2 linked regions of the Drosophila melanogaster genome follow. Changing the gene in region 1 together with any one later gene gives a genetic interaction. Each region holds a gene or a part of one and is shown on either strand. Other genes may lie near its edges.

Region 1 (5,904 bases):
GTGAAATAAAGCCGCGCTATCACTTTTGTGCCATTAATGGAACACACTACGAAAGCGCACCCTTTCGGATGCCCAAAGATGAGACTACCCAGTTTGAACTGTGCACTCGCTTCATTTCCCTTGCGGAAGTGGGAAATGCCGAAAAAGCCAAGTACATCTATGCACTCAGCCTGAAGCCAGTAGACAAATCACGCTTATTGGACCTAGCGCAGAAGACAACAAATGAAATTCCGTGTCCTTTCATTGGCTTGGACTTAGGCGGAGCTATTGGCAAGAATGATTCGGTGGGTAACCTTTACATATCTATAAGTACTCCAAGTGACTAATTATATATTCTTTCAGTCAGAAAACCGACAATACTTCTACGACATGGATGGTGGCAGACGCAAGCGACAAGGCGGTGATAATAACAAAAGAGATAAACGTCCTAGAATACCGCAGATTGAGCAAGGTTTGTCTAGTACTTAATTTTACAAGCTGCATCCTTAATACTATTCCTATATTTGTAGATAAATGCTGGTTCTGTTTATCCTCACCTGATGTGGAGAAGCATCTCATTATCACTGTGGGCGAACATTTTTATCTTGCTCTGGCCAAAGGACCGATTAACAAACACCATGTCATGATATTGTCCACCAAGCATGTGCCCTGCGCTGCTCAACTAAGTCCAGATGATTGGAAGGAGCTCAACAAGTTCAAGGCAGCTTTGCGAAAGTTCTTCAAAACGTTAGGCCAAGTGGTGTGTTTTACTGAACGGCACTATAAATCGGTTCACCTACAAATCAACGCGCTTGCCTTTGAAGAAGGCTATGCCTGGAAGATAAAACATAGTTTTGAGGTATGCTCACGACATTCAACCTTTTATAACATATGATGTATATCCCACAACATTGCAGGATAAGGCGGAGGAATTTAATCTGGAATTTGAGACACTTCCCGCATTGGATTCTGAGAAAATGCTGCCTGAAATGGGACCTTATTTCCTGGCCGAGTTACCCGACGATAGCACACTTATAACGCGGCAAATGAAACACTTTCCCATTCATTTCGCAAGGTGCGTTAACTTCTCGATTTAAGCTACCAACTCTTGACTAAACTCATTTTTTCAGGGACGTGTTCTGTTCGGAGAATCTTCTTAACTGCGATGAAAAAGTGAACTGGAAGGATTGCCTTCTCGATAAGGACGAAGAAGTGGCGTATGTGGAAGATTTCCGAAAGGCTTTTGCGCCCTTTGATTTTACAGACGATTAAGCAAAGAACATTGTATGTATAGTAAAAAGTTCATATCGGTTGTAATTGCTGAGCCCTTGCTAACAGTTCATCCATGTAAATGCTAAAACTACAATTTAATTAAAAACGTATCCGTAAAGTCGTTGCGCTTGAGTAATTTAGGAGTCACGTTGGTAGATTTTGTTGAGTATTTGCAGGAAGGTCTGGTGAGGCACCCCGCGTGAGGTTTGTTGTATGTGCGTTTTAATCATGTTGTAGGATTCCTCCTCGAAAATGGCATAGGTGGATGGCAGTCCAAGTTCCTTGTACAGTTCTTTCACTCGCTCCACTTTAGCTGGTTCTGCAGGTTAATATTCAAAAGTCAATGTCTAATTGTGCGGGTTTGCTAAGCTAGTTTTACCTTCTTTGCCATAGCAATCGACCATGATTTGCTTTTGCTCGACATTGGCTCGCTGCATTGCCACCACTGCCAGCCACGAGCACTTGTTGTCCTGAATGTCGGTTCCAATTTTACCAGTCACTTCCGGATTACCGAAGCAGTCGAGGAAATCATCTTGAACCTGGAAAAAGTTGCCCATTTCTAGGAGAATGGTCTTCGATTGACGGAAGGCCTCTGCGTCTTTATAGCTAAACAATAGAGCGGAAGATTAATAAGCGGAATCTTATATATGTATGGCCATTACTTACCCAGCCAAGTGCAAAGCAAGTGCGAATGGAAGGTAGAAGGAGTAATAGGCAGTCTTATTTTCGACAATTGCTTTGTAGTTTTCCATTGTGAATTCCGAGACACAGCGGTTCGAGTTCAGTTGGTCCAACGATTGTCCGCAGGTAGTGATGTATGTGATTTCGTGGAAGAGCTCCATTAGGGCGACATAGCAGTCCAAGTGGCTGAAGTGCTTCTTGAGAATGGCATACATGGCGTTTTCAATCATAAGAGCATCGTTAATGGCAGTCAGGCCCACGTTCTCCACCTTGTGCCAGCAGGGTTGGCCGCGTCTGGTGGTGCTGTTGTCCATCACATCGTCTGAGATGATGAAAAAACTTTGGAGCTGAAAAGATGATCGATAACTTTGTATTAGGAAAACTATTTAATGCATAAAACTCCTACCATTTCCACACACCAGCCCAGATACTGGGCGAGCTTTATGTTCTCCGGCGTAAGATCCTGGGTGGGCACTAGATTCTTATACGTGAGCACGGTGAGGATGCCGCGGTTCTTCTTGCCCCTGGGCACATTGTACTGGAGGACTTGGGCGAACCATTTGGCTGCGTCGCTGCAATTGTATGCCTTCGTCACGGTGGTGATGTCACGCACAAGATCTGCACATCGAAATATAATTAGCATTAGTATTTGCATGATAATTGTTACTGGGCATAAATAAACAAATCTCACCTGGGAACACGGCCATAAAGTCGCGACTCTCATCTTTCGACACCGTGACGCGAGCGGCAATGGGAACCGAGTGATTTTGGAGCGTCGATAAGGTTCTGTGGACAAAACAAAAGTCAAGAACAATAGAGCCCATAACTGACACCACCAGGCAGGCACAAATACATACACACACACATGCACGCATCTATGGTCTACGTGACTGCATAAGCGGCTCGATACAAACTTTCTCCCCCACTTGAAATCAAGAAAAAAAGACCCCGAAACTCCTTTTCGAAAATCACGCCCAAAACAGGCCTCCGATACATGCATACCATGCCCATGCCCATACCGGTCGAAATGTAAACAAAACAAACAGGCAAGGCAAAGGTCAAGTGCGAAAACCGGTAGATTGATTACCTGCTAGTCTTCTTCAGCTTCTGTTCGTTGACCAGTTCGGTGGGGAGGCCGCCAATGGTGTCCATGGACTTGATGATGGGCTCTGCGTTGACCTCGTCGCTGGTAGAGATCAGGCGTTGCAGGCGCAGCGGGCTGGCCAGGATCCGCTGCTGCGGCAGGAGCATACGGGCCAGTTTAAACATTTTTATTTAAGATTATCGGCAGGTAACTATCCGCTTCACAAAACGGCAATTCAACTTCGGGTACCAAATTGCCAGTGTGACTGAATCTCGGTTCGCAAAAGAACCCACCTTAAAATTTCAAATAACCATAATACGTTTATAGCAACTATTTTATAGCTGACTTTTATTTTTCGAGAATTTTGTGAAGGTAACTTATAAGTTAAATTTTTAAACATTTTTATTTAGTAAATTCAGGAACAGCAAATGATTTACTTTTGCTGAAATTATTAATTTTATTGCGTGTTAATTAATTAAATGCATTACTATATATAAATCAAAATGCTGACGAATTTAAACATGATGCAAATTGTCGAATATATTTCGATATCAATATCTTCAAATTATATTTGACACTCTGCTGCTACATTTTCGGTCACACTGTTTCGATGTCCCATGAACAGTGTTGGAAATGGCCTGACATACACCAAAGGCAAATTGGCAGCTGAAAACACGAATTAAACTAAAATGATGGATGAGCAGCTAATTGACGAGGTAGCGCAGCACGGAGTGATCTACAACCGGCAGAAGTACTACCTCAACGGCGGCGCCAATGGTGGCAAGTACGAGACGAAGGACGAGGCCTGGCAGCTGATTGCGATGAAGCTGCGCACGGATGGTGAGGAAGACGCGCTCCTCCGGCAGATCCTCTATATAAATGTTGCCCTCCTTTCCAGTGGACACGTGCAAGAAGCGGTGGAAGTACCTACGCGAACGCTACGTGTCGCAGCGGAAGCAGGGCGATCCACCTGTCTACGAACACCTGTCGCGTCCATACCTGGAGAAAATGAAGTTCTTGGACCAGCACATCCAGCCGCGCAAGTCCTACCGCCATGTGCCGAACTTCCTAACATCTCCACAGTCCGCCAACAGCTCCGGCTACAACGAATACCAGGTTGATAAGTCCAATGGCTCCATGAAGAATGTGTCTCAGTTTGGCAGCTCAGGGCAAAGTCATCTTTACCACCAGCCGGATCAGCAACACGCAATGAGTGCTCTGAGTAACGTTGCTGCATCTGCGCTGGAAAACGTCAATGGCCAGGTGAAGATCGAGGCGGACCAGGTGTTCAGGGATTTTGCGGCTGCCGTGGCCTCACAGCAGCTCCAGCACATATCACAGTCACAAATGCAGCAACAGGCGGCGGCCGTTGCAGCTGTAATGGCTGATTCCTCGCAAGGTTATCAGGATCAATACAAGGATGGCTCCGTGGGCATGAACGGGGCCCAGAACAGCGCTGGCAGTCTGACCTCAACATCATCCTCGATGAAATCACCGCTGTCGTCGCCGCTGCAAGGAATTGGGGCAGGATCCCATCATCCTCAGCAGCAGACGCAACAACAACAGCAGCAGCAGCAGCAACAAGCGCAGCAACAGTCGCCGGCATCTGAACAGCAGCTTCCGGTGGTACATTCCTCTTCCAGCGCCACGGGCGCTTCCATCGGCAACAGTTCCACTCTGCAGATGCAACAGTCACATGTCTATAACCCCAAGGGCGATGGTCTAGACTCTTCGTCATCGAGCCATTTCCATATGAAGAAACCCCGTATTCAACTAAATGGCAATGCCCATAACCAGATGACCAGCAATGGTAGTCACTTTGGCAATGACTCGGACGACGAATCCGATGAGAACAGCCATGATCTGATGGAGCCGCAGGCTATGATGCAGCAGGAGAATCACTACAGCAATTCGATGCCCATGCAGCGGGGCAATGGAAATGGGAATAACAGTAGCAGCAATAGCGGGAGCAACAATCCCAGCGGCAATAATAGCCACAACAACCAGCAGCAGCAACAGCACCAGAACATGTTTCCGTCAAACACGGACTTCCTTTTCCAGTTATACCAGCAGTTCCCACATCAGGCCAGCAGTTCGCATCCCGCAAACTTCGGGAAATTCCAGGCGCCGCCCAATCATCCGGGTGTGCAGCGGTTGTCTGAGCATTTGCTGGGAGAATTAGTCACCACGGAACTGCTGAAAATGAACAAGGAACGGAAGAAAAGTGCACAGAAACGGATCCTAGAAATACTATTCTTCGACGATTAAAGGGCTAGCTACTAGGTATTTGTAAATAATGTAATCTATTATCCTTAACTTATGTTATTCGTTAGACGGTTGTCAGATAATAGTAATTGCATCGCTTTGGTCAAATTTCCCACCAATGAGTCATTTGCAAAGCTCTACGTTCTACCGAACACTTTTCAAATGTGCTAGTCAAGACCAGCAATTGGGATTCCATATCTGCATTAATTTATGTTTTTTTATATATGTTTAAGAATATAATGATCGGTTTTAATTTATTTAAATTCTTATTAAAGTGTACTCAATGGAAAAGTGTCTTTCCAATGTGAAAATTTGCAATTTATGTGTATTTGGGCATTTTTGTTAAAAGGGGTCAGGAATGGATGCTACGATGCTTTGTGGTAAGTTTTCTCTGGATGTGATCCATTTTCGCATGCTGATAGTGGAATTTTCGGCACGAAAGTTTACAACCGCATATGCGAAAGTAGTGTAGTCATCATAAAGAAAGTAGTTCCTAATGATATGTAAAGCTTCGTGACCCACTGAGGTCCAATTTCAGTTATGTTCAGTAGCCGTCCTGCTGCTTGATTTATGAGTGGCCTTTGACCAACCCTCCGATTACCCACAAAGCGGGATGCAATTGC
Region 2 (6,137 bases), on another chromosome or scaffold:
AGCCCACACCGCTTTTCCTATATATATTAATATTTCTGCAGTTGAATGACTTGTGTGGCACACTTTTAAGGAATTCGTTCATGCACTTTTCGAGACTTTCAATTATGATTTCCACAAAGAGAGAGTGAGAAAGAGCGTGGCCAATGTGTACATTATGTAGTCTGCTTAGAGGCGTCAAGAAAGCCAAACTAAACTAGCGTGCAATGAGCCCGTAAAGTCAACTTTCCGACTGCCTCTGACCACTGCACAGTGGGGCGAAACTCGGATTACCAAGCCAAAAAAACCAACAGCGTTGAACTAAAGTCATTCCATAGAGCCAACGTGGCGTATTAGTAATGTTAGGAAATGTTAGCTGTAGTTGAGTTGAAACTATTAGTTAAAATTCGTTCAAGTAAAGTCTATATAAAATTAGGTATGTATAATGCAAGATATATAAATCAATGACCATTTGTTTTAATTGTTTTGATTGGTTAATTTTAGTGTTCATAAAAGCGTCTTTATATCTAAGTTTTGCTAAGTTTTTTATATTAGAGAATTTACGGAAAATGTTTTATATAGTTCCATCAAAGATCAATATACTCTAATGCCATTGGCTTAATTGAGTTTCAGTTGTTTTAGTCAAAGGAAACAAGAACTTTGCCACCTGTGCGCAATATTGATTTGATTTTTCTCACACTCCATTGCAGTTTTCGGCGAGGCCGACAAGGAAGCATCAGCCACAGGATGCAGAGCAGTGCCGGCGGAGCGTCGGGGGGCAGCAACTACGAGGACGTGGCCGCCGCCCGCCGAGGACGCTTCCGTGTCACCTCCTCCACGCCACAGGGCCCGCCCGAAACGACGCTCGGCCGCTTTCGTCTCATGCCCACGTGTAAGTTGATTTGGTACTTTTTCGCCTTTACAATTTGAGTTTATATAAAGTATACGACATTAATCATTACAGTTATGCTAATAGTAATTGATATCTTTTGGTCAAATTCTCGATAATAAATGCATGGTGCTGAATACTGACCCCTTCTTTCGCCTTTGCAGCTAATTATGGCGCCATTTCGCCAATCCTCCAGCGGGGTCGCTTCGCCGTGATTCCCGAAGAGCCCCAAGCCGGTTCCCCCGCATTGGGAACGCCTCCGCCGGGCGGCCGAACAGCGCGTTCTCCATCGCCCGAATGGGACTTCGACATCGAGCAGGTGAGTGTTCCCAGTTCCTCGGCTGGGATTGATTGATCGAGCTAGCAAAAAACCCTGAGCATCGAGGAAACTTATTTTCGAGAGTACTTCAAATGTATTTATTGCGTCCTTGGACCTATTTGGAATGGTCTAAATGAAGTTCGTGAATGGTGGCAAATTCATCGACTCCGATTTCAAGTATTTTGCTGTTTCTGGTGGCGTCATTGTGTGCTCCTCGGTGGCCTCTGTGCAATGCGCCATTTTTATTGATTTTTGTTGGCTTAGCTGAAGTTTCAAAGAGTTTGGGTGGGCTCCGAAAGTGTGAAAGGCATGCCAAGGCAACTGGTTATGATTATTTATGGGGCATAAAATCTAATTTCCAGCACTATGATGGAAATAGGAATATGCTTATGTACATAAGTTTAATTTTTTTTAGCTAAAGCTAGCTAAAGTTTTTTTTATAGCTTTTATAGCTTTTTTTATAAAAGCTAAAGTTTTTTTTATAGCTAAAATGTTTTCTATTTTGTATGTTCGGCGTGATTTACAGAGCGGAGCAATTTTTGCAATTCAAACTTATATCATTTTGGCGCCTAAAGCGGCGGTGCATGACAAAAACTGATTGCTATTGCGAACACGGTCCGATCTGGCAACGCGTTGTTTTTTAAGTGTGACCGCCGCCGGAAAGTAGCAAAGCGCATTTTATTTAAAATAACTTCTACGCAACTAAAGAATTCTCAATGATTCTTGTTTATTGAATAAATAAGTAGATATATGTGCGTATTTACTTACGCGAGTGGGCACTTAAGAATTTACTATTTAAATGCACATATTTCAGTAAAATTGCAAACAACGAGTTATAGAAAAATACTAAAACAACGTTACAGTTGTGGTCACGCTAATTCCAACTGGATTGTAAAAAGATCTCTAGCGATAACGATAGGCGAAGAGTAAGACCTTTTCTGCTGGATTTCGCAAACGATAACGATGACCACAATCGTGAGTTAGGTTGCGAACTTTGCTTGGTGAAAACGCAGCGGATTACGAGGTTGGGAAAAACTTTTAATTCGCGTTAAAAAACGGGAGTGCAGTGAAAAACAAAGCAAATTAAATGTTCTTAAATTCTTACTAATTTATAATAAATAATTTAATTGAGAGAAAATTCCGGCATGGTGTCAGGATAGCATGTCCGCGCCAGTGGGTGGCTTAGCCATAAAATTCTTCTGTGATAAGCTGCGTGAACAGCTTTTAATTGTGCGCGAATGGATTGCAGAAATTGCAGTGACAACAACGGCAACAACGGACAATCGATCTTTGTTCTTTTGAGTGCGCAAGTGAATTGTGAAACTTCTTTCTTGTTACACAAAACAATAGCCTCTAATCACTTTTCCTGCCCATGCATACACACACATGTGTGCATATGTACATCCCTATAAAAAATCAATAATCGGCGATCAGCTGTTACGCATACAAACAAACACATGGCGTCGCTGGAAAGAGCGACAGAAACGTTTTGGAAATTTTCCACGGACAAATACTTTTATTTGCCCAGATTTGCTATTCTTCTGTTTTTGTTCCTTGTGTCAGTTTCTAGCTGTGTTTCGCGCAGTAATGGTTTAGATTCTTAATAAAAAGTGGCAAACACAACAACGTCCTGCTGCTCCTCTTCTTCTTCTCACCCCTTCCATTGTCCGATCACTGCGTGTTCCAATTGGAAAGTCGAGTCCAAAGTGGAAGCGCGCGCCCGAATAAATTTTCATTTTGATTCTTGATTTTTATGGCTCGCATTCTTTGCTTTTATTAAGATCGATTCGGTTGTTGTTGCTGGTGTTTTCGTGTTTTGTGATTTATTTGGTGTTGAACCAAATGGCTGATAATTAGCCGAGTGAAATGAGTGCTGTAATCTAATCTGAAAAGTCAACACCTCGAAAGTGTTTGGACATCCAGCGAAAAGTCGTCATTATAATTTCGCTCTAATCTCTGAATATACACTCATAACATATATATAACATATAATGCGCCAACACAACCAGCTAATTCGTTACGTCTCTTCTTATTTACAATAATTTCTTAGCGCAGCTAAATGCCTAATCGCGAAATTGTTTACAAAAGTTTTGTTTTCCACCCGTTCAGGTGAACGTGAATGTGTGTTAGTGTGTACGTGAATGTGCGGATGTGTGTATGCGTTCCTGTGTCCGTGAAATTAATTTTTTAACCGAAATTCGACAATTGTGATTCTGCAATCTGCCAGCGCGAATCAGAAACATCCAATTACTGATAAAAACACACAAAAGGTGGGTGACAATTTATTTTCTTTTTATAATTATCGAAAACCTGATTTACTTCACTGCCTTTATTTTCTTTTTGTGTTGATATGAGCGCTTGACGTTTGATTTTCCCCGAAACTTTTCATCTGCCTTTTGTGTCGGTGACTAAGTTGAGTGGGTGGGAAATTCCCCCAGTTCGCGGCGACGCTGGGAAAATACCCAAAATCGCCCAAAATTTTTTCATAATTAGATTTTCAGAATGTGTAAACAATTTTATTAAATTTTTTTATATTTAGAAAACATTTAATAAAAGCGATCAATTATGTAATAGATAGTGTATAACAGTATCAATAACAGGAATAACAGTATTAAATCAGGCAATGTAAAATATAATAACATAAAACAATTCAAAGGGTCTTACCTGAATTCTTCATACGACTTTTTTTTGTCGAAACTCATTTGAAGTTATGGTTATAAAATCGTGAGTGGATTTCTTTAAATGTAAAAGTACCCTATCACGATGCCTACTACATTTTAGACATTGACTAATTAAGTAAGCACACTTCAAGCGAATGCCCAGAAATTAAAAAAAGATAGCTACTGAAGTTGGCAATCAGGAAATGTCGAACTTTGATCTGCGGATACAACTACTAGAAGTCGCAGATAGTCAGTCGCACTATATGGTAAAATTGAATGTTCGCACTTACAGCTGCCACGATTTGTGTGCCGCCAATTACCTTAAAACAAAAATTGCACTGCCAATGTAAACAAAACGTATTTGAAACTCGTGTTCGAATGGATATACATATGTATGTATGGATTTATTCCTAATCACATGCACACGATACTCCGGATCAGCAGATCGACCAGTGATCGTCGAGATCCGTGAAATTGGATTTGTTTCTACTTTCCGTCCTTACGAAGTGGCTGCACTGAAATCGAAACTGTTTGTTTATCTTAGCAATTAGTTAGCCATAAATGTGCGAGTAAGCGAATAGAAGGGATAAAGCATAAATAATTAAAACTGTTCGCATTAGCAGATGGCAATAAAATAACTCGGTTTCTGGTCCATTCGATCGAATTCAATATTGTTGTTTAGTTTCCGAAAATATTGGTTTTGTAATTGACTTGACTTTGTTCAATTCAACTCAAGTTCCCCGAGCCCCACCATCTTGTCTTCGCCCTCCAGTTTTCTTCTCGTTTTTCCATTTTGGTTCGCCAGCCCGAGTTGAACGAACCTCTTTCAATATCTTTCAGAAAAAGAACCCAACTTTGCTTTGCTCGAAAATCAATATTATTGTTTAAATATTATTCTACGTATACGACACAGCGAGCAATAAATATTTACTAGATGTGCTCATGTTGCAAATTGTATTGGTTTTTTGGGGTTGAGTATGCAAAATCAGCAGGGAAATGGAGCAGAAATTGTTTTCGAGATTAGGAATTGAATAGGCGTAGAAAAAAATGATATTCTAGGAAACTAAATCTTAAACAAAGACGAAAAGCCTTCCTGTTTTGTTAGATTATGGTTCCAACTTTGTATATTATCAAGAACTGGTAAAAAAAACATACACGCGAATTCTTTAGTGGAATTCTTCCAACAATTTAAAAAATGATTTATTTATTGGATCGAAAGATTTTATGTTTAAAATTAAGAAGCTTTAGGAAATACTTCAAATATTAATTATAATGTATACATATAATTGTAAAGCTTTGAAAATGTAGTGATCACATAAAAAATGGGCCATATTTAACAACTTCAAACGGACAAGGTCACTTGACTCCAAACAGTTTTGTTGAGCACTTCAAAGGCCTGAATTTGTTCATTCAATTGGGCCAGTTTACTGAATATCAAATCGAACTTGGAATCAAAGTGCTGCACCACTGCTTTCAGTTCATCGCGCAGTTTGTCCACCTCGCTGGGATCAGAACTACTTGTTATGGGCGAGGACTCTACGCTGGCGGAGATTTCCGAAGAGGAGGAGGAGTCCACACCCTCTTTTTCGGGCAAGCGATACATGCAGGCTATTCCGTGAAAGTATTCCCCCGGAAAATCGGGATCGTAGTTATCCACGGTATAGGCAATGCCATTGGCACGAATGAGCACATCCATTATGTTTCTCAGGCTGAAGCAGTTCCAGTTATTTCCATGAATATAGAAGTGCGTTAGTTGCGTGAGCGTGGGGAACGCGGATGGATCGATTTCCGTCAAATTATTGCCGGATATGTCAAGTTTCTGCAAATTTTGCATACCCTGCAACGCCTCCAGCGGCAGTTCCATCTGGCCCGTATTCCGCAGCACCAGCATCTCCAGATGTGGCGTCCGCCAACCGTCGGGCAACTGACCCAGGTTCGGATTGTCCGCCACATCCAGGTGCCGGAGTCTGGGCACGCGGCTCAACGACGCCAGCTGAACCAGCGAGTTGTTGCGCAGCACCAAATGCTCCAGTGCCTCGGAGGCGGGAAAGTACAGCTCGCGCACGCGATTGTCGCTCAGATCGACATTCGTCACCGATCCGTACAAATTGACACGGTCCAGCGAGCAATTGCGAGCGGTCAAATTGGTGGCGTTAATGTTCAGCAGTAGAACGACCAGCTCGGGGTTATTCGATAGATCCACATACTGCATCTGATGGTGTCGTCCGCGGGATCGAAAGGCATACTCGCCCACCTCTCGCAGTCGATTGTTCTGCATTGCGACCGACAAAAG

The links.
Region 2: of Fpps (region 1) and SNF4Agamma, changing one suppresses a phenotype caused by changing the other (phenotypic suppression), as found in Drosophila melanogaster (one study listed by BioGRID).

Annotation. Positions count from the first base shown.
Region 1 is NT_033778.4:11,304,242-11,310,145, forward strand, and holds Fpps (farnesyl pyrophosphate synthase), read right to left. Parts: upstream 3,288-5,904; 5' UTR 3,202-3,287; coding exon 3,020-3,201; intron 2,719-3,019; coding exon 2,624-2,718; intron 2,551-2,623; coding exon 2,339-2,550; intron 2,280-2,338; coding exon 1,918-2,279; intron 1,858-1,917; coding exon 1,631-1,857; intron 1,571-1,630; coding exon 1,389-1,570; 3' UTR 1,270-1,388; downstream 1-1,269. Other genes in the region: CG7741 (uncharacterized protein), read left to right, coding at 1-284, 343-451, 510-838, 897-1,054, 1,110-1,251; CG7745 (uncharacterized protein), read left to right, coding at 3,706-3,856, 3,915-5,284.
Region 2 is NT_033777.3:21,154,204-21,160,340, forward strand, and holds the start of SNF4Agamma (SNF4/AMP-activated protein kinase gamma subunit), read left to right. Parts: upstream 1-2,158; 5' UTR 2,159-2,208; intron 2,209-3,234; exon of another isoform or gene 3,235-3,293; 5' UTR 3,294-3,454; intron 3,455-5,034; exon of another isoform or gene 5,035-5,186; coding exon of another isoform or gene 5,187-6,137. Other genes in the region: cDIP (common Dpr-interacting protein), read right to left, coding at 5,187-6,137.